Linked DNA regions of Astyanax mexicanus. The protein of the gene in region 2 purifies or fractionates together with the protein of the main gene of each other region. This does not show direct contact. Links are inferred from orthologs where the notes say so. Each region holds a gene or a part of one and is shown on either strand. Other genes may lie near its edges. The genes, in order: nufip1 and nop58.

The links.
Region 1: the proteins of nop58 (region 2) and nufip1 purify together in Homo sapiens (co-immunoprecipitation; 3 studies listed by BioGRID and IntAct, with this or other methods). This does not show direct contact. The link is inferred for Astyanax mexicanus from reciprocal best matches to the Homo sapiens genes NOP58 and NUFIP1.

Annotation. Positions count from the first base shown.
Region 1 is NC_064412.1:55,616,505-55,625,639, reverse strand, and holds the start of nufip1 (nuclear fragile X mental retardation-interacting protein 1), read right to left. Parts: upstream 4,305-9,135; 5' UTR 4,159-4,304; coding exon 3,876-4,158; intron 3,180-3,875; coding exon 3,115-3,179; intron 2,981-3,114; coding exon 2,876-2,980; intron 2,641-2,875; coding exon 2,578-2,640; intron 2,130-2,577; coding exon 2,053-2,129; intron 1,933-2,052; coding exon 1,840-1,932; intron 1,353-1,839; coding exon 1,177-1,352; intron 1,082-1,176; coding exon 947-1,081; intron 301-946; coding exon 20-300; intron 1-19. Other genes in the region: dTDP-D-glucose 4,6-dehydratase, read right to left, coding at 5,558-5,706, 5,856-5,953, 6,400-6,455, 6,833-6,998, 7,083-7,126, 7,210-7,269, 7,364-7,462, 7,818-7,960 and 3 more. UniProt on the Homo sapiens protein: Binds RNA.
Region 2 is NC_064412.1:37,931,046-37,940,261, forward strand, and holds the start of nop58 (nucleolar protein 58), read right to left. Parts: upstream 3,462-9,216; 5' UTR 3,342-3,461; coding exon 3,297-3,341; intron 2,627-3,296; coding exon 2,550-2,626; intron 1,633-2,549; coding exon 1,580-1,632; intron 1,495-1,579; exon of another isoform or gene 1,405-1,494; intron 1,240-1,404; coding exon 1,115-1,239; intron 916-1,114; coding exon 779-915; intron 560-778; coding exon 495-559; intron 1-494. Other genes in the region: sumo1 (small ubiquitin-related modifier 1), read left to right, coding at 6,834-6,845, 7,611-7,679, 9,159-9,216. UniProt on the Homo sapiens protein: Required for the biogenesis of box C/D snoRNAs such as U3, U8 and U14 snoRNAs. Part of the small subunit (SSU) processome, first precursor of the small eukaryotic ribosomal subunit.

The DNA.
Region 1 (9,135 bases), about 18 Mb from region 2:
GCTTGTCGATTATCCTTACCATCTCTAAAAGGGTGTGGCGACGGTTCTGTGGAACACTGGTGGGGTTATTACCACCTCTTCCACCCCTACCACGACCACGGCCACGCCCCCTTTTGCCTCTGCCACACCACCTGTTTCTCTGGTCTGAGACAGGATAAGGTGCTTGGTGGTCAGTCTCAGATTGCCTGATTGGTGGTTCCTTGTTAAGACTCTGTGCACTGTACTGAGCAGGAACAGAAAGACCTGCCAGCAAGGCCTTGTTCTCCTCCAAAGCCTGAGCTGTTTTCAAGAGAGGGGAATCTAAAATTGAGAAAAAAAATAACATCAACCAACACAGAAATCTATCAAACCAATACAAAAACATAGGGAAAAATGAACATTAGTGGAGAAAAAGATCAGTTACTAGGAAAAAAGGAAAGTTACTGTAGGAACACATGCAATATAGAAAAAAGAAACAACGATAATCTACAAATTTTAAGCAAACTGATGCCATAATGTTTTTTTGTGCAGTCCTTGATTCACTATTAACCACTAATATAAAACTATAATAGAATAAGCTTCAAAGAAAATGAAACCACACCGGTTAGGCAAACAGAGTCGACATTTAGTTAGAGAGAGGGTGACATCATCTCTCTATTTGCTCTCTCAGATTCAAGTCATGTCTTTTCTCTCAGTACCAGCCTTTCAGAAACTACTGTACTGCAACCTGAGCTTATCAACATTTGTATTGCTGACTAAAGTAATGGGACTACAGCTAAGGGCATACACTGTTCAGTGAGCACTGCAGCAGCATTGTGCTGGTATTTTGTTCACACACTGAGAGAGACTCACTTCCCACACACAGGTTAGGGTTTTTTATTTTATTTTATACATTAATACCCTTGCTTCAAATGGTGTGCTCACTAAAATTTTAACATGTTAGAAATGGCATTAATCGCTCACTCACTATCTGATTCTTCCTCGCTCTCGGTCATGTCTCCTCCATAGCTGGACATCAGTGATCCCAGAGCAGAAGTCATATTTTTGGGCGCCACAGAAATGGATGCTTTCGTCTCCTTCACAGGTTCTTCTTTTTCAGAATCTAAAAAAAGAAAAGAAAAAAGGACACCAAAAGAACAAGTCATTTTAGAATGACTAAGGATGATGCTTTTGGGAAGAAGTGTCTCGAGAGCTAACCTGGGTCACTGTTGGCCAGAACTCCAAGAGGATCTCCATCTGGGTGAGGACGTACAGGAGCTGGTGGCTGCTGCTGCTGCTGCTGCTGCTGCGCATTTGCTGGTTGTACATGTTGCTGGCCACTATATGCACCTCGGCTCTGATTCTGGACGTGTCCACCACGACTTTTAAAATTACTGAAGCGATAAATAAAAACATGTATAGTTATAAGCAGGTCACTTTTTATCAGCTAACGCGAAAACTGCCATGTGGCTCCATCTGCCTAATGGTATTTACTAGCGTCATTCCCAAAGTACACTGCCATGCCAAGACGTCATAGGACAGAAACTAAGAGTACCATACCCCAAGACTTTCCCCATGTTCCACACAAGTTAATGAGCATTGCACTCCCAGTTTGCATGTGACCCTCGTGACCCCAGTGTTCTACTTCACTTACAAGATAACACCTCACAACTTATACAGCTTTAGGTATTCACAGGCTGCCTCTACCTGACAGGTAGAATATTATAACTAAGGTGCACCAGATTATAAGCTACACTGATGATATTTGGGAAAATAAAAGGATTTTAAATGCGCCTTATAGTCCGGAAAATACGGAACTGTTATCCCATGACTTTTGGCATGTGAGTGTAAATACCACATAGTTAATTGACAGGTAATTACCCAAACTGGGCAGTCTCCAGCACATCTCCCCTTTGTGCTTTAACCTCCATGGCCTTAATTTTCCTCTCCACGTTGCTCAGGGTTGGGTAGTTTCTGTAAGGTAGGACATATTACGGTGTGGTGAATCATTACTGCAGGTTGACAACATTTACCTCCACAATTAAATAAAAGTAGTAAGAGTAATTTCGGAAAAAAGGGAGGGAATGATCATACTTTCTCCTTTCCTCTCTCCATTTTGCAATCTCCTCTGCAGTGTCCAATTTGATTCGCTTTGCTCCAGGAGCATGGTTCTGAAATACAACACACAACAATGACAGGGTATTTAAATCACATAAACTCTGCCAATTCAGCCAAAACATTAACACCATCTCCTAGTTTCTCCTTGTTCAAAGTCTTTCAAGCATAGACTTCATAGTTCTATAATTACAGACTGTAGTTCTGTATCTGTTTCCCTCTATACTTTATTATTCTCCTGCTTTCACCCTGTTTTTTAATACTGAGAAACCCACAGCAGAGAAAAAAAACACTGAGCAGCTATTAATAATAATAATAATAATAATAATAATAATTTTACTATTTGGGTGGTGGGTCATTATTCTCAGACATTAGTCTGGATATTCAGGTGAGAAAATGCCTTTTGTGCCACCCGTGCCGCTATAATGAACCCTCTTTATTTATTGCAGTTTTCATTTGTAATTATATCTGTAGGTACAAACAAGACTGAATAAGAGCACTTACATTTCTCCAATGGATTTGGACGAGCTTCTCATGCGCAGTAAATGTGCAATCCTCAACTGAGCACTGAAAACAGAACATAATAATACATCACATTTTGTGGTTCTACTTTAAAAAAAACAATCTATTCTTGAAATTGGAAAAAATAAAAATGGGCAGTTCATGTAAATGTAATTTACAGAGAATATGTAGGCCTGTCACAATGCCACAATGGAAATGCCAGTGCTATAGATAATAGCAAAATAAATTTACTTTACTATTTACTTTGAATTACTAAGAATATTCAAACTATTTACCTTACCTTCACATGCTGGGCAATGTGCTCATCATACTTGGTTTTGTTTTTAAAGCCTCGATCACAAGTGTCACAGAAGTGACTGAACTCTGGTTCTTTCTGCTTTTTCTGCTGAAATAAATAAAACACAGTGTGTTTACTAGCTTGTACTTGTTATTTATTCACAGCATGCTCACAAATAGATAGAGAAATGACACAGAAACATGATTTTACATGATCAGATGTACAGGAAAAAGATTTCTTACCTTTTTACCCCACTGGTTTTGGCCGTGGCCTTGCCGTCCATATCGATTATTATTATGATGCGGACCTGTAAAGATTTTAACAGAACTGTTAAAGGTCTGAAAGGCCACACACCGACTGAGCTGATAAAACATTAGCTGGTAACACATACACACATAAAAAGCTTGTTTAAAGTTTAAAGTTAGGGAAAGGATATGATCATTTTTAAGCATCTTGGATTTTGATTAAAAATATTTTGTTATTTAAAATGTACTGTAATAATGATCTAAAACATAGTTACTTGAAAATATGCTGTTTCCTGAAGTTTCTACAGCCAATTAAATTCATTGATGACTAGGAGTGTGAACCACAGGGCAACAAGGGAGTCTATATGTTTTAATAAAAGATATTTGATGCCATGTATTGATACAATACTAATGAAACAATGCAATATACTGCAATATTATATAATATATAATATTGTACCACTGCTAGTGATGACCCTATGTATTCACAAAAAGCCACTTATGCCATATGCTCTTTTATTACAGAGGTGGACTAATGTAATGTTAGGAGTCTAGCTCAAGTGCTTTTATGGGTGTATCACAGTATAGTCACCCAGAACAGGAATTAAACCCCAATCTCCAGCATGATATGGTAGCTCACTGGCAGATAGTGGTGTTATCCACTGCACCATACCATCCACTGTACTGTACTGTACTGTACTGTAGATAGCTATATTATATCAGGCCTGTGTGTTGTTGTGTTTTTCATGGTCTCTCACCTGGATATCGATGCTGCCCGTAGTTCTGATAGTACGGATGTTGGTACCCGCTGTAGGGAGCAGTGGGGTAGGGGGTCCAGGGATCTGCTGCTGCGGGAGCTGCTGGAGGAGCAGTCGGGCTCCAGCTCCAGTCTCTGGAAGCCTGGAACTTGTCTGGAGCTGCTCCTGATGCTGGTGCTGCTGGTTGTTGTTGGGGGCTCCAGTGGAAGGTCGGTGGTCTGAGGAGAGCTCCCTGAGCTGGAGAGCTGAAATCCGGGGGCGGGTAACTCCCAGACTCCGACATGACCACTGTCACCTTTTACACAAATAAATAAACCTCTCAAAACTCTCTAAACTCCTGTATAAACTCACCAGAACTCTCACATGGCTCTGCCTCTTCACGCTTTCCTACACACGTGCTACTCAAACCCGGCGTCACTTCCGGGTAAAATTATACACAACAGCCGCTCCGAACAGCAGAGGGCGCTGTAGCGCTAAAAACTGAGCACATGCTGTATATATGGGGAAAGTGCGCATGCGCATGTACGAAAATACGGTCAGTGTAACATTTATTAATTTAATTTCTAACCTTTTGAAGCTAAATGCAAAAATAGAACATTGGGTATAAAACTTCATTATTATTTTTTTCCATTTACTTTGGTGAGAAATAAACTGACTTGTTTTTCCGAGTTTTTCATTTCTGCTTTTTGCTAATAGAATTGAAAAAAAAAAAAATCTCTCAATTTTCTATTTTTTTTTAGTTTTCCCATTTTTGCAATAACTTTTGTTACAAGGTGAAAAAATCAGAAAATTAAGATAAGATTCATTTTTTTTTAAACTTTCCTGAAATTCTAATTGTGAGATGCAGAAATACAAATTATGAAAACCCATACAAAAATATGAAAACCCATTTCTTCTGTACTACACAAAATGGTTAAAATAAAAAAAATAAAAAGTTTTACTGTCAGTGTAACCTTTATTAGTTTAATTTTCTGACTGTTCAAGGCTAAAAGCAAAAATAGAAAATTGTATGTGAAAAACCCATTATTATTTTTTTTTTGTACAAGAAATAAGTTTTCATGCATTGTACAACATTGTAGCAACAATGCAAGAATTTAGGGATTGCTGGGCTTTAGGTCATTGTAAATGATTTGATTAAAAAAGAGACATTTAATGAACAGCCATGTACACATCAGACTAACAGTGAGCAGAGATAACATACAATGAGAGCACATTGTATTTATTTATGGTTTTATTAGTCTTTGGTAAATTCACAACAGTTTGTTTAACACTCTTGGACATGGATGACTCAGACTCAGTCAAGGACTTCCCATTTACTAACTATAGAATGTCATGATTTATGGCATTGTTTCAATACACAATATTGAGGTATTTGGCTGAATCTCAGAATTTATATCTTCTTATATTTCCTCTCACTTCAAATATGAAGCAGATAACAGTCCATTACTGTTCCCAGATAATTAGATTTCTTACAGTGTGTTTCACAAATGAACATTTCATATATATATTATAAAAAACAAAAGTTGATATAAAGATGACTGATGTTATGTAAAACTTTGTCCATTTATGCTGTTTTTATGGTGGATGTCATTTGTAACACAGCTGTTGTCCAGTTAAAAAAAACACAATGTCTGAATGTAAAATAAGTCTTTAGTACGTACAAAATGTTCAATCAATTTTAACTACAACTTGGTGGATAAAAAGCTTTTTGAGAAAGTGTTTTTTGCCGTTTCACTGTGAAGTGAGTGATGGGTCACAGTCAGTGGAGCTCCTTGATGCTTCTTTTCTGTGACCACTGGCCAGTAGCCTGCATTCTCTTCATACCACTTAACTGGAAGACAGGAGACACAAATTATACATTAGAACATATTAGAACCCCCCCCCCTCCCCTATGTTAACTAATAGAACAAGGCACAAGCCCTGTTACCCATTCTCAGATCAAATCAATAAAAAGGTAATGAGAATTTTCAGGCTTCTTACTTGTCCTTCTGATTCCCTCCTTCCATGGAACCTTAGGCTTCCAACCAAGTTTGTGCATCTTGTCTGAGATCATTGGGTATCTTAAGTCACTGACAGGTCTATAATATGAAAAACAACCTTATAAAAGCAAAAGTTATTATAATATAAAAAGAGAGAAACTTAAATACCACATATAGTGTTATGCAGCAGTTTGAGCACACCTGGTAAAATTACATGAAATTCTTTATTCTTTAAAAAAATCTATGTCTGTATATTTTAATACAGTTACTCTTTATTTGCTGAATGTAAACCCTTTGTTAAAAAAAGGTTTACCATTGTTTAAAGTAACAGTTCTTAAGTGTTTGGTGAAAATGTGTAACTGCAGTACTTTGTTGTATTTTATTGTGGTGCAATACAACTGCTCCACAGTTTGTATTACTTACAGGAAATGGAGCTTTAGAATAAATTAGAATAAATAAACAACAATAATAATGAATTAAAAAATCATATATTTTGTCAAGGAGTGCCCAAACCTGTAGGTTACCAGAGCTTTTCTTTTACACACCTGTCCTCAACAAACAGCAGCCAGTTATCCAGATCATCAGTAGATGCATTCTTCACCTTCAAAAAAAATTAAATAAATAAATAAAATTAAATAAATAAATAAATAAAAATCACTCCAAAGACATAGACATTTTAAATGAGATGAATAACATTTAATCTGTGACTAAAACCTATATATTTCTCTATTTTCTATGAATTTACATGACGGTCTACTTTAGTTTCAAACTTTTAAATATTTTTATGCTACCAATATAAATTTAAATATAAATAAATTTGTACTCCTGGAATCCTTGATGGTGTATCCATTTCTTTAGCATAGTGATTTTCTGGTCCTATCTTGTTACTCCAATATTGCATTTTTGTTTAAGTTTCTGCAGTACATTATATGATATATTTTACATGTTTCAAAAATAAAAGCTGACAATGGAACCTACCAACTGTACAAGCTCTCTAGCCAGGTGGATGATGGGAATCTCAAAGTTGGCACCGATGTTGTAAATCTCTCCCAGGACGCCTTGTTCCATCAGGATGAGAAGAGCATCCGTGACATCATCAACGTGAAGAAAGTGACGGGACTGAAGGCCTGTTCCCTGAATAGTGCTATAAAGAGAGAACAGGATTTGATTACAAACAAAAAACGCAACATAAATGGTGTAAAGTTTGTTAAAAGCTAAATATGCTTACCACTTTTGGTCCTGTTGTAGAAGTAACAAAAATTTTGGAATAACCTGAAGAATAAGCAGGGAAAAAACGTTTATATCACCACTTAATAAAATGGTGGTGTGGAAGAATGATAGAACTACCTGCATACCTTTTCATGATACTGTCTTGGTCCGTACACATTACTGCTCCTGGTTATTAAAATGGGAAACTAAAATGCAAAATTACAAAATGAGGAATATTATCAAATTGAAAATAAAAGGAAACAATAAATCACCAATAATTCAAAATCATAATTTTATTACCTTGTGCTTTTCCCAGTATGATAACACAATGTTTTCAGCAACAGCTTTTGATGCTGAATATGGATTGGTTGGCTTTTTTGGACTCAACTCATCAAATTCCTGTGAACATTACATGTTTGATAAATTCTAATTGTAACAGAAATTATTAAAAAAAACATTGAAATAATTTCCTAAACTTTTAAAAATAATTTTAAAATCAATATTATCCTGAGTACAAATCAAAAATGTAATGTTCTCCAAACCTTTTGTTTTTTTATGGTTCTCTAGTTTTTATGTCTATTTTAAAGCTTGCAGAATTTACAGTTGATAACTCAGAGAGTTATCAACTGTAGAGAGTGAACAGGGTGTCCAGGTGTTCTTTATGAGAGCCTTAACAGGAATAAATTGTACTGCAGAGTAAAAGGGGATTTGTATAACTACACCTAAAAGGTTAAACATCTAAAATGACACTGACCTTGTCCAGACTGTCTCCATAAACCTCATCAGTGCTCACGTATATAAACCTTTCCACTCCAGCTTCAAACGCTGCTCTGAGCACTACATGTGTACCTTCAGCGTTCACGTGCATGAACTGAGACGGATACAGGAAAGAGTTATCTGAGATAGAAAAGAAAAAAGAGAGGAGAGTAATCTGAACAACATTCGCCTGATTCACTGAACATCACTGATATATTACCTATAACAACCAGAAGGATTCATATCTAAATCAATAATTACTCACCAACATGAGACTGAGCAGCACAGTGAAACACAATGTCGATATTCTCAGTAGAAAACAGATGATTAATGAAGTATTGGTCACATATGTCTCCCTGTGAAGAAAGAGAGGCAAAATGAATCAGCATTAGGAAAAAAGGAAATATTATAATATTTTATAATCACTGCTTACTTAAAAACTCAACCCTCTCAGTAACGATAAGTATAAAATGGAGTTGGACAATATGGCCAATAAATAATATCATAATATTTTTTTTATAATAATCATAATAATTAAACCTTTGTCTATTCTGTCAACAACAGTACGTTACCAAGACTTTGTACAGATTTTGTATAAAATTATAATAATAATGTAACAAGATAAATAATGAATATAAACAACACAAAATATCATTAAAGCTTTAAAGTAAACAATAAAAATACAAAATACTTTCATTATCAATCTCAATATTACTGTGTCATGAAATATTGTGCTTGAAATGAAATTGCACACCCTAATTACAGAAATATTGCTTTTGATATTCACTGAGCAAATATTGTCTGGGGAAAATTATACATCACAAAATCACAAATGTGAATTACGCAGTATTGAGACTTGATTATCTGATTGTGGTATCTTAAATAAAGACAGAAAAACACGCATATCATGAGGGCCCCAAAATTGCCATGATGAAAAAGAAAAACACAAAAAAAGACACATTTATTTATTTTGGTTGGTATATATTTTTTTTATTATTGATATATAAACTACTGTTTATGATTTTGTCTCAGAGTGAAGAAGGAATATTATATAACAGTTCTCACATTAAATCTTACCTGAATGAATTTGTATGTACTTGTGTTCTTAAGACATTCGAGGTTCTTCAGGCTTGAGCAGTACTGCAACTAAAACAGATTATATACATTATATTATACACATTATTACAATATACACACAAATTATACACATTACTTACACTCAATTACACACAGACAGTATAATTAACAATTAAATAGACTTACTGAGTCAATATTTATTATCCTCCACAGTGGATATCTTGCAGCCAGGAGGATGA
Region 2 (9,216 bases):
GTGCATTGTTATTTTTTTATAGTATTGACAATATGCATTAATACACATCAAGAATATCAGTGCTTACAGAATGTACAGAATACTGCACATTTTATTATAGAGAAATGTTTAGTTCAATTTTAATTGAATGAGCAGAATGAGAGTGTAGCTGATTTTGGGTTAAAAAAACTGCCACTGCTGATGCATTTTGTCGGCGGAAAAAAAAAGTATACATCATGAAAATGCCTTTAAATATCATGATATACATTTTAGTTTTTACCATATTGACAAGCTTTTTTAGAGCATGATTACAAACACCAGGACAGAGGCTTTTTTCCCCTGTTCACATCCATATCAGAATATTATTGTATCAAACTGATCATATTTTGTATTGTATTGTTTCTCTTCACTTTTGTAGACAAACAGCAAAAGTACACATTTTTAATCTAATATTTTTCATTTCTAAATATTCAGTGCATCCCTTAAAAAAAAAGTAAAGAGAATGAGAAACTTACATATGGCCTGAACAATCATGGTATCCACTTTGTCTGGACTGAACTTCAGCTTGTATCGGGAAAGGCTAGAAAAATGAAACATTATGGGGGAACATTATAAATCAACACAACCTAGAGCACATGCACTGTATTTGCCAGTTCACTGTCTCATTGGTAGTGACGAATAGTGATGAATATCCTCAGAGAAGTCAGTTATGCACATAATCATTGACAGTTTTGTCATTGACATTTTGTAAAAATGTTTCAGCCTTTATCTGGTTGTGTATGTGCTTTTTTTCCTTTACCTGTGAGCCAGACCAAGAGACATGGCACTGATTTCTCTGGGAGGAAGACCAGTGATGAGGCCCTCCATCTGATTCCTGATGCCCCTCATGAGCTCAGCTACAGCTGGACTGTGTACACAGCTCAGGTTCAGCTTTTCCTAAAGAGGGCGGCAGAGAGCAAATGTTCAGGCACAGTCTGCACAGAAGCAAGTTTTCTCCACTGTCCTTTTTGTGAAACAGGATAGTCAATGATAATTATTTTTAAAAGGTCAAATTGTGATTGTATTTAGACCACTTTAGTCACCAACAGCTTTTACAGCTTCTGTAAAAGATGCTAAACATTTAATGAGCCCTTACTTTGATAACTCCTCCCAGTTTAGCATCTGTAATCGCCAGCTGCTCATGAGCATCTTTGGCCACAACTTTTTTCAACACCTTCTTCAAACTTTTTCCAAGCTTCCCTTCTACCAAAGCAGTGGCCGCTGAAGTCATAGAAGGAAAGAGAGAAAATCGTTAAATGAAACAAGCAACAACATGAACTAATTCTACTAAACATAATTTTGCATGATTTTGCATCATTAGATACACAAGTTCAGGAATACTGTTTAGATCTTTATAGTAGAATTAACCATGACTGATATGTATGAAAGGCTGTTGTCTCAGTGGTAGTGACGAATTACTGATTTTTGTCCTCATACTATAGTCAGATCAACAGAAACATCATTGACAACAGTTTTAATATAAACAGCTCATCTCCCTCTCATTTCTCTCATTTAAACGTGCAATATAATTTTAGGACATTGCATTGATATTGTACTGTACCTGCCAGAGCTTCAGTTGTGTCTTGAAACTTCTCAAAATATTTTAACTTCACTCTGTAACAAGAAAGTTTACAAGAAACCCAAAATGAAACAACCACCAATGAATCAATAAACGTATATGTCCTGTCGACTTAACATATATTACCACCCTATAAAAGGTCGGCGATATGGTAATATTTCAGGGCACTTTTGTAATAATATTATTGGCGATATGAAAAAAATAAACACACGGACCAATATTTTATTCATTTTAAGAATATAACATTGCAACAAAATAAATGTTTAGTTTACTGAGCATAGCTTTCAAACATATGGTAGAAACAAAACCTGAAAATATTTGTTTCTATTTTGTAAATAGTAACTTACAAATAAAATAAAGAAACAATAAAATTAACATTAATTTGTAGTTTAGCAAAAAAAAAATCTACCAACATCTAAACTGTACGAATATAAAATGCACACAATTATGCATAAAATGCCCTTAAAAGCTTTTACGACTTTGTTTATTTATATTGTGAACAATAACATAGGCAGCGACCCTAAAGAACACTTTGACCTGTCACTTTCTAAAGCATTAGCAATAAGGCTTACACAGGTATACTTGTTTAACAGACCTAGATAATGTATATATTCCTGCACCTGGATGTCAATTCAATTTTTTCTTTCCATTTTGCCTGTTTTAACATTTCCTGCAATTATTTTAATTCTAGTTTGTTGCAGTTTTTCTTGACATTTATTTCCATTAAGCATCCGGAGTATAAAGGTAGAAATTGCGGGAACCATTAAAAAGCTGAGGAAATTGTTACTCATACCTTTTATTATTACTATTTTTTTTTACATTTATGTCTTTGCTGCTGTAAACCACGGTCTCCTCTGTGACTAAAAAGTGATGCATTACTCGGTCCATCTAAAAGAGTGCATAAATCTACACGACTATTCTGGATCGAGCACTTTGGGAAGGAACAACTTACACTTTGTTGGCTTTTTCCGGCGTTTCGAACTCCTTCCACAGGTTGTCCACCTGCTGAAGCTTCTGCTCATCGAGGACCTGCATGAAAAAGAATATTTATTTAAAAAAAGACAGACACGACTTGATTTACCACACCAAACATCAATTTTAAAAATACTCAAATCCTGCCTATTCCACACTGACTGCACGCTTGCAGACCCTCACACTTCACTACACGTGGCCACCCAGTGGGCTAACTAACCCACATGGTGTCTTTTAGCCGTATTTAAGAAACGTTATTTAAATTTACCGTGAGTATGCTTACTTTAATTGCATTTATACGTGCATAAAACACGTAGTTAAAAACACAGCATATTCTCTTTCGACAAATAGATAACTATAGCGTTAATACAGCTGGCTAACTCGGCTAGCTTAGCAGAAATTTCACAACGTGGGTGCAAAGCAGGCCCGTCCCTACAAGCCACTGCGCTGAGATATTTAGCATAGCTAACGCTGCTATAGCTAACAACCCGGCTATTGACAATGCGTTAGAACTACTGTATGCGTATGCACACTTATTGCCGCAAATTTAACCAGACTTACACTTTAAAAACAACCTAAACTGAAGTTCTTGGCCCGCCAAGTCATCTATCCACAGAGGAACTTCAACTAGCGAGAAAAGCTACGCTGCTAACAGGCTGAAAACGACAGTTCGCGAGGAGAAAGCTCACTGTGCTTATTGCACATTATTTAAGTAAAGTACACTTACCTTAAAGATGGCATAGCCTGCCGCAGTCTCAAACAACACCAACATCTTTATCTAACTGTCTGTTTGGTTAATATAAGAGGAATTAACGCGCTCCCGGCTGAGAGCAGCTCCACAGCACGGCTAACCGCAAGAACTTCTGCTCACCACGCGGTGCACGCGGGCAACTCCCGCGCATGCGCAGTAGGTCTGATAGGCGGTCTTTAAGCAGAGGTGGACGATACCCTGACTATGGCGACTCTTCACACTGTTATGCTGTTCAAACACTCAATACAGGACAGAAAGATTCAAGAAAGATTCAAAAAAGACTTTAAACAGACTAAAGTCTGACACTCTCTAACATCTAAAGACAAGTCACAGACTGTTTACACACAGGCTAAGATTTTGCTAAGTCTGGGGATCACTATTTGCAAGACTTCAACTAGATTATTTCTGAGATTTTTTCCCATCATGCTTCTGGTGAAGTTTACATACAATACATTTTACATATTAAGTTACAAATAATGTGTATATCAATACTGTGATTTATCAGAGAACGTTTGTCCCCATCAACAGTTTATTTTTCAGCCACACTGTAAGTTATTGATTTTATTTTTGTTGAATTCAACTCTGGCTATAAGCTTCTCCACCCCCCCTCCGTTTTTGCTACAACCTTGTATATCAAAAAGAATCACAGTTTTACTGCTATATATTTGCATTTGTTTTGGATAAAATTAATGCAATAAAGAACATCATTCTTGCAAAATGTATATTTATTAAACTTGTTTGTATCAAAAATCACACTGCAATAAGACAAAGTAGTGCAAAATAAAATAAAATATATTACATTAATTCTGTTAAAATGCATGAAGTCCAGCTGTTGCTAAAATATCTCTATAATATTCATGCATTTGCACTGAATTTATTTTGCAATCTCTTTCGCTATCCTGTGTGTATAAAAATATTTTTAAATAAAACCTGTGCACTTTCTCAGTGTCTCAATTTAAATGTCAGGGTCCTCAAACTTATACCAATGAAGCTACTTGTTAATGGTGAGATTTCTTTGCTTGGGCAATGCTATGCCCCTATCACTAGCATTAGAAGCATGTTGGGAGCATTGGCAAAAAGGCCTGTAAATCAGAATGCTTGGGGTAAATGAAGATGGGCTATTGCACAACAGTTTGTACTTGTTATCATGTTTAACTACACCCCAAGTCCATTTCACACTGTAGTTCACCTGTAAAGAGCCACTCAACCCTAAACCATATTTTTTCCATTAATCATTGAAATGTGTTTTTTTTTAAGTAATAAAACAAACCAGTCTTGCTTAAATTTTTTCTTAACATTTCCTAAACTTTAAAAAACACTTTTATTGTGGTAATTTCCGCCTCTGCAGCACCCTCTCATGTCCAACTGTTCTATAGGCGAGGATGATGTGTCCCCTACTGTCGTCCAACCGCTATCAGAGGCACACTGCTGCTGCAGCTTAGCCAATCAGCTCTCCCTTCGGTCCCACTTCTAAACCCATACATCACCGAGTGACACACCCAAACGACCCCTTCCAAATTTTACCTTTTTTTAAATTTGAGTAAGGGTGGTGTCAGCAAAAATCAGGGAGTTTAGTGCTCATTTAAAGCTTTAAGTTAAAATAAACTTATTATTACTAGATGCTGTGACTCTTCTCTGCAAGTTGATTTACTACACAATACATGTTGTTTCAACCAAGCAACCTAGCAAGTTTACAACCCTGATAAAAAATCCAGAGAAAGACCAGCTGGTCAACATGAAAGAACATACCCTACACTGGGTAGGATAGCATAGGGTATGTTTCTCTGGATAACAACCTGGATTTTAGCAGGAAATACAGATAAAGTATTTACATGATTTGTATTCACATCTTCCAGTTATTGGCTCTAACTTTGTTAATTAAGTTAAATCAGGGGTGGACAATCCTGGTCCTGGGTTTTATGGTTTGCCTGATTAAGCACACCTGATTCAACTGATATGTTAATTGCTAGATTCAGTAGCTCTGTTACACCAGAACTATCATCAAACTGTGTTGGACTCCACCCCTTCCTTTCCACTAGATTAAGAAAAACCATATAAATATAAATACCATATATTGAAACCATATAAAACATTGAACAGGGAGTTTTTATACATAAAACTCATCTGTATAGAAAATGGTTACATGCTCTTACAGCCATCAACACTGAGAACAGGCAATCAACCATTGTATAAAATATAACAGAATAGATGAGTAAAGGTAGTCTGAACAACAGAAAAACAACTACACACTGACAGTAAGAGAGGATTGGGAAGTGTTGCACACACAAACTGATTTATGGACTATAATTGAAATCTCAAAACTTAATTTGATGAGTTAATGTAAACAAACAAAAAAAGTTATCTTAACATATTTCTCAAATATTTATAATGGTGCACCATTTTTTCCTCAATGTCAAATTGTTAGGCCATATTTATGAGCAATTCTTACTACAAAATCCTGTTCTGAATAAAGTGTTTTATTTGTGTGGACTCAGCAAGTTCAAACAAATCCTGGAGAAAGGAAGTGTGTGAGAGCACTAAACTGTGCTAGAGACAGTGGTGGACTCAAATGTTTAGACTGCCAGTCCAAATCCTTTTCTTGCTATATCCAGATTGTATTCAAATGGATTTTAGATAGTCTGGACAAAAAACAACTATGAATCTATTATCTTCAAATTATGACATACATCTCTTAATAATGAGATATTATTTATCTAAAACAACGCCTGTTTTATCACACATTTGCAGACTTCCCAAGTCTTCCAAAAGTTGCAGGAGTCTACTGCATGCTAATAACTGCTCCCTGATGCCCACAAGTCTCCCGGGCAATGGAAGTATTGCCCGCTGTACAGTATGTAATAGTGATTTTCGCATTGCACACGAGGGACTAAATGTATAAATGTATATATTGGTGTGCAAGTTATGTTTTTTTGGGGGGAGGCAGGAAGTCAAGGTGCGGGGAACCTCCCTGAAACTATTGCAACTTGGGATGTCTGCATATGTAATATGTATTCAGAAAATCAAAATATTGTTTTGAAACAGAACAAGATCACCATGAACAATTCAGCACGTTTGAAATTCAACCAATTTTTTTTTTTAATAAAAGCCAATTTTATATAAGGCACAGTTTGTGATAACGGTTTTTAATAATGACATGTGGCAGATTATTATTATTATTATTATTATTATTATTATTACTATTATTGTATATTTTATTTGCTCATATTTTAATTATACTCTGCAGCATTACGTTTCCGTATATGTAAACTATGAAATTTTAAAATAAGATGCTCTTTAATTGTAGGTGCATTTTAAAACCTGAACACGCCTCCTTTACTCACACTGGCCGGGGTTTTGTCATCGTTCCCGCCCCTTGTTCCAGTGAGGTCAGCGCTGCTGTGTGTGTGTGAGAGGGAGAGTCTACGAGAGAGAAACATAACCTACATTACAGCCACACTCACCTACATTTCTCACTAAATCACTGTGGGAGAGGGTTAGGCGCTGAGGAGCAGCATGTCGGACACGGTGGGTTCTGGAGGAATGTCTCACAGACTGTGTGGAGCTGAGCGAGCAGCAGCAGGCTGACAGAAACAGCGCTTAAATATGAAAATACGAGGCCCGTTTACTAACGATAACAAGCTACAGCAACCTTTTAGCTCGCTAATTAGCTCATGTTTTACTGATATCTGGGGCAGATTTCTGGTGGTGAGCCTTGTGTTTCCCTTGTTTGGGATTTGTATTTTGGAGAGTTCACTTTACTGAAGCTGTAGCGAGTTAAATGTTGTGTTTAGACTCGGGTTAGTGAGGCTCGTTAGGTGCTAGCTTCAGTATAAAGCCTGAGAGCTACGTTAGATGGCTGGTGGGCCCAGGAGTATTAGCTAGCATAGCTAACGCTAGCTGAGCTAACAGCTAGCTTATCTAAGTTTACAGACTATCTGCCGGTCTGTCCGGTAAACTGTCAGTTTTGAGTTATTCTTTTGTTATAATAGTGGTTTAATTATCCTGCTGCGTTACAGCATTAATGTAAACCAGTGCACACTGCTGAAATTAGCTTAGCTAGCTAACGTTATCAGGTGTTGAAATGTTTCACACAAACCAATACAGTGGAATCCGTTAGCAAACAGCTAGTTAGCTGAGTTAGTTAGCCTACCTAGCTAGTTTTTTACTAGCGTGGGAGTCTTATTCACATCTTTACCAGTGTTTACTGGTAATGTACCAGTGTTTCCTCAGTTAATAGCGTATTCCTTTACATATGTAACATAGTGTAATGTCATATCTTTCTGTATTCAGGAGACTAAGCCCTCAGGAGATGGAGAGAAGAAGGACGGAGAATATATTAAACTGAAAGTGATTGGTCAGGTAAGAGGGGAAACTTCAGATTTGATTGTTGAAGCTGGCTTATTGTTTTTAGGCATGGGCAATACTTTAATATTTTATTATATCAGATCGTGATAAACTGTAGTTTTCTTCACTCTAACTAGAGGGTGGGTAAAAAAATCTCGATATTCTCGATATTTTTAGTTCTTGCATAGGCTTCTGGAAAAAAAAACTAAAGTTTCTGAAGCAGTTTCTCTGATTTTGTATTTGTAGGTATATGTTTGAATAAAATGAACATTGTTTTATTTTATAAACTATGGATAACATTTCAGAAAGTGAGAAATGGCTGAAATACCAAAAAGATGCAGAGCTTTCAAAAATCAAATAATACAAAGAAAAGTTCATATTTATAAAGTTCAGAAATCAATTATTGGTGGAATAACCCTGCTTTGTAATCAGTTTTCACGCATCTTAGCATGTTCTCTTCCACCAGTCTTACACACTGTTTTTGGATAACATTATGCCACTCCTGGTGCAAAAATTCAAGCAGTTCAGCTTGGTTTGATTGGTTGTGATCATCCGTCTTCCTCTTGATTATATTCCAGAGGTTTTTAATTTGGTAAAATTAAAGAAACTCATCATTTTTAAGTGGTCTCTTTTTTTCCCAGAGCTGTAAGTCCTTAGTATTTTTAATTTGTAGATGTTTGAAAATAATTAAAACACCAGTTATATCTATCATTTTATTTATGCATTTATTAACCAAATTAAGAGGTTCTTTATAGGGTTCTTGACAGAAACTTAAGCCTAATTACTATTTATTGAGAGATTTCTTTTGGCACATAGAGATTGCTATGTAAAAATTTGCAGTCTGCGTATCTCATTTTAAAAATCGCTTTAAAACAGTAATTTGATTTATCAAATTAAATTGATTAACCAAACTGTACATTTATCTGTTTTTTTCTATTGTTTTAATGTACGCAGTATTCATTAATATTTATTGTAGTGTTCTATTTTTATGTTTGACCAGTTTGCACGTTATGTTGTGCATATGGTCATAGAGGACCCTAATTTCATTCCTCTGTGTACATAATACAGTTTTTTTTATTACTTTGTTTTATTATTTGGTATTTTTGGAACATCACTATTGGTCAATTCATTATGACATATTAGTATAATGTAAATTCCAACTTCTGTGTTTACACTGTCAGTGAAAAAACAACAAACATGGAGATGGACGGTTAAGGTTTTTGCATGACAGGAATGATGAACTACACAAGAATCTAAAATTTAAACGCTTTATTAAGAGAAAGTATTGCTGAATATGCTTTCTAAACATATATTGAGTAAACAACACTGTATTGTGTCTTTCGTTGTTGTATTGTGTGTTGTAATAATGCTTTTAATATGTTATCATTTTATATTTTTACCGTATCACCCACCCTTACTTGTGGTGTTCACGGCCTGAATAAACTATGTCCCCCTTATAACTTACTCCAAGTTTTTCCTAATGTTTCCTTCCAGGACAACAGTGAAATTCACTTCAAAGTGAAGATGACGACGCATTTAAAGAAACTGAAGG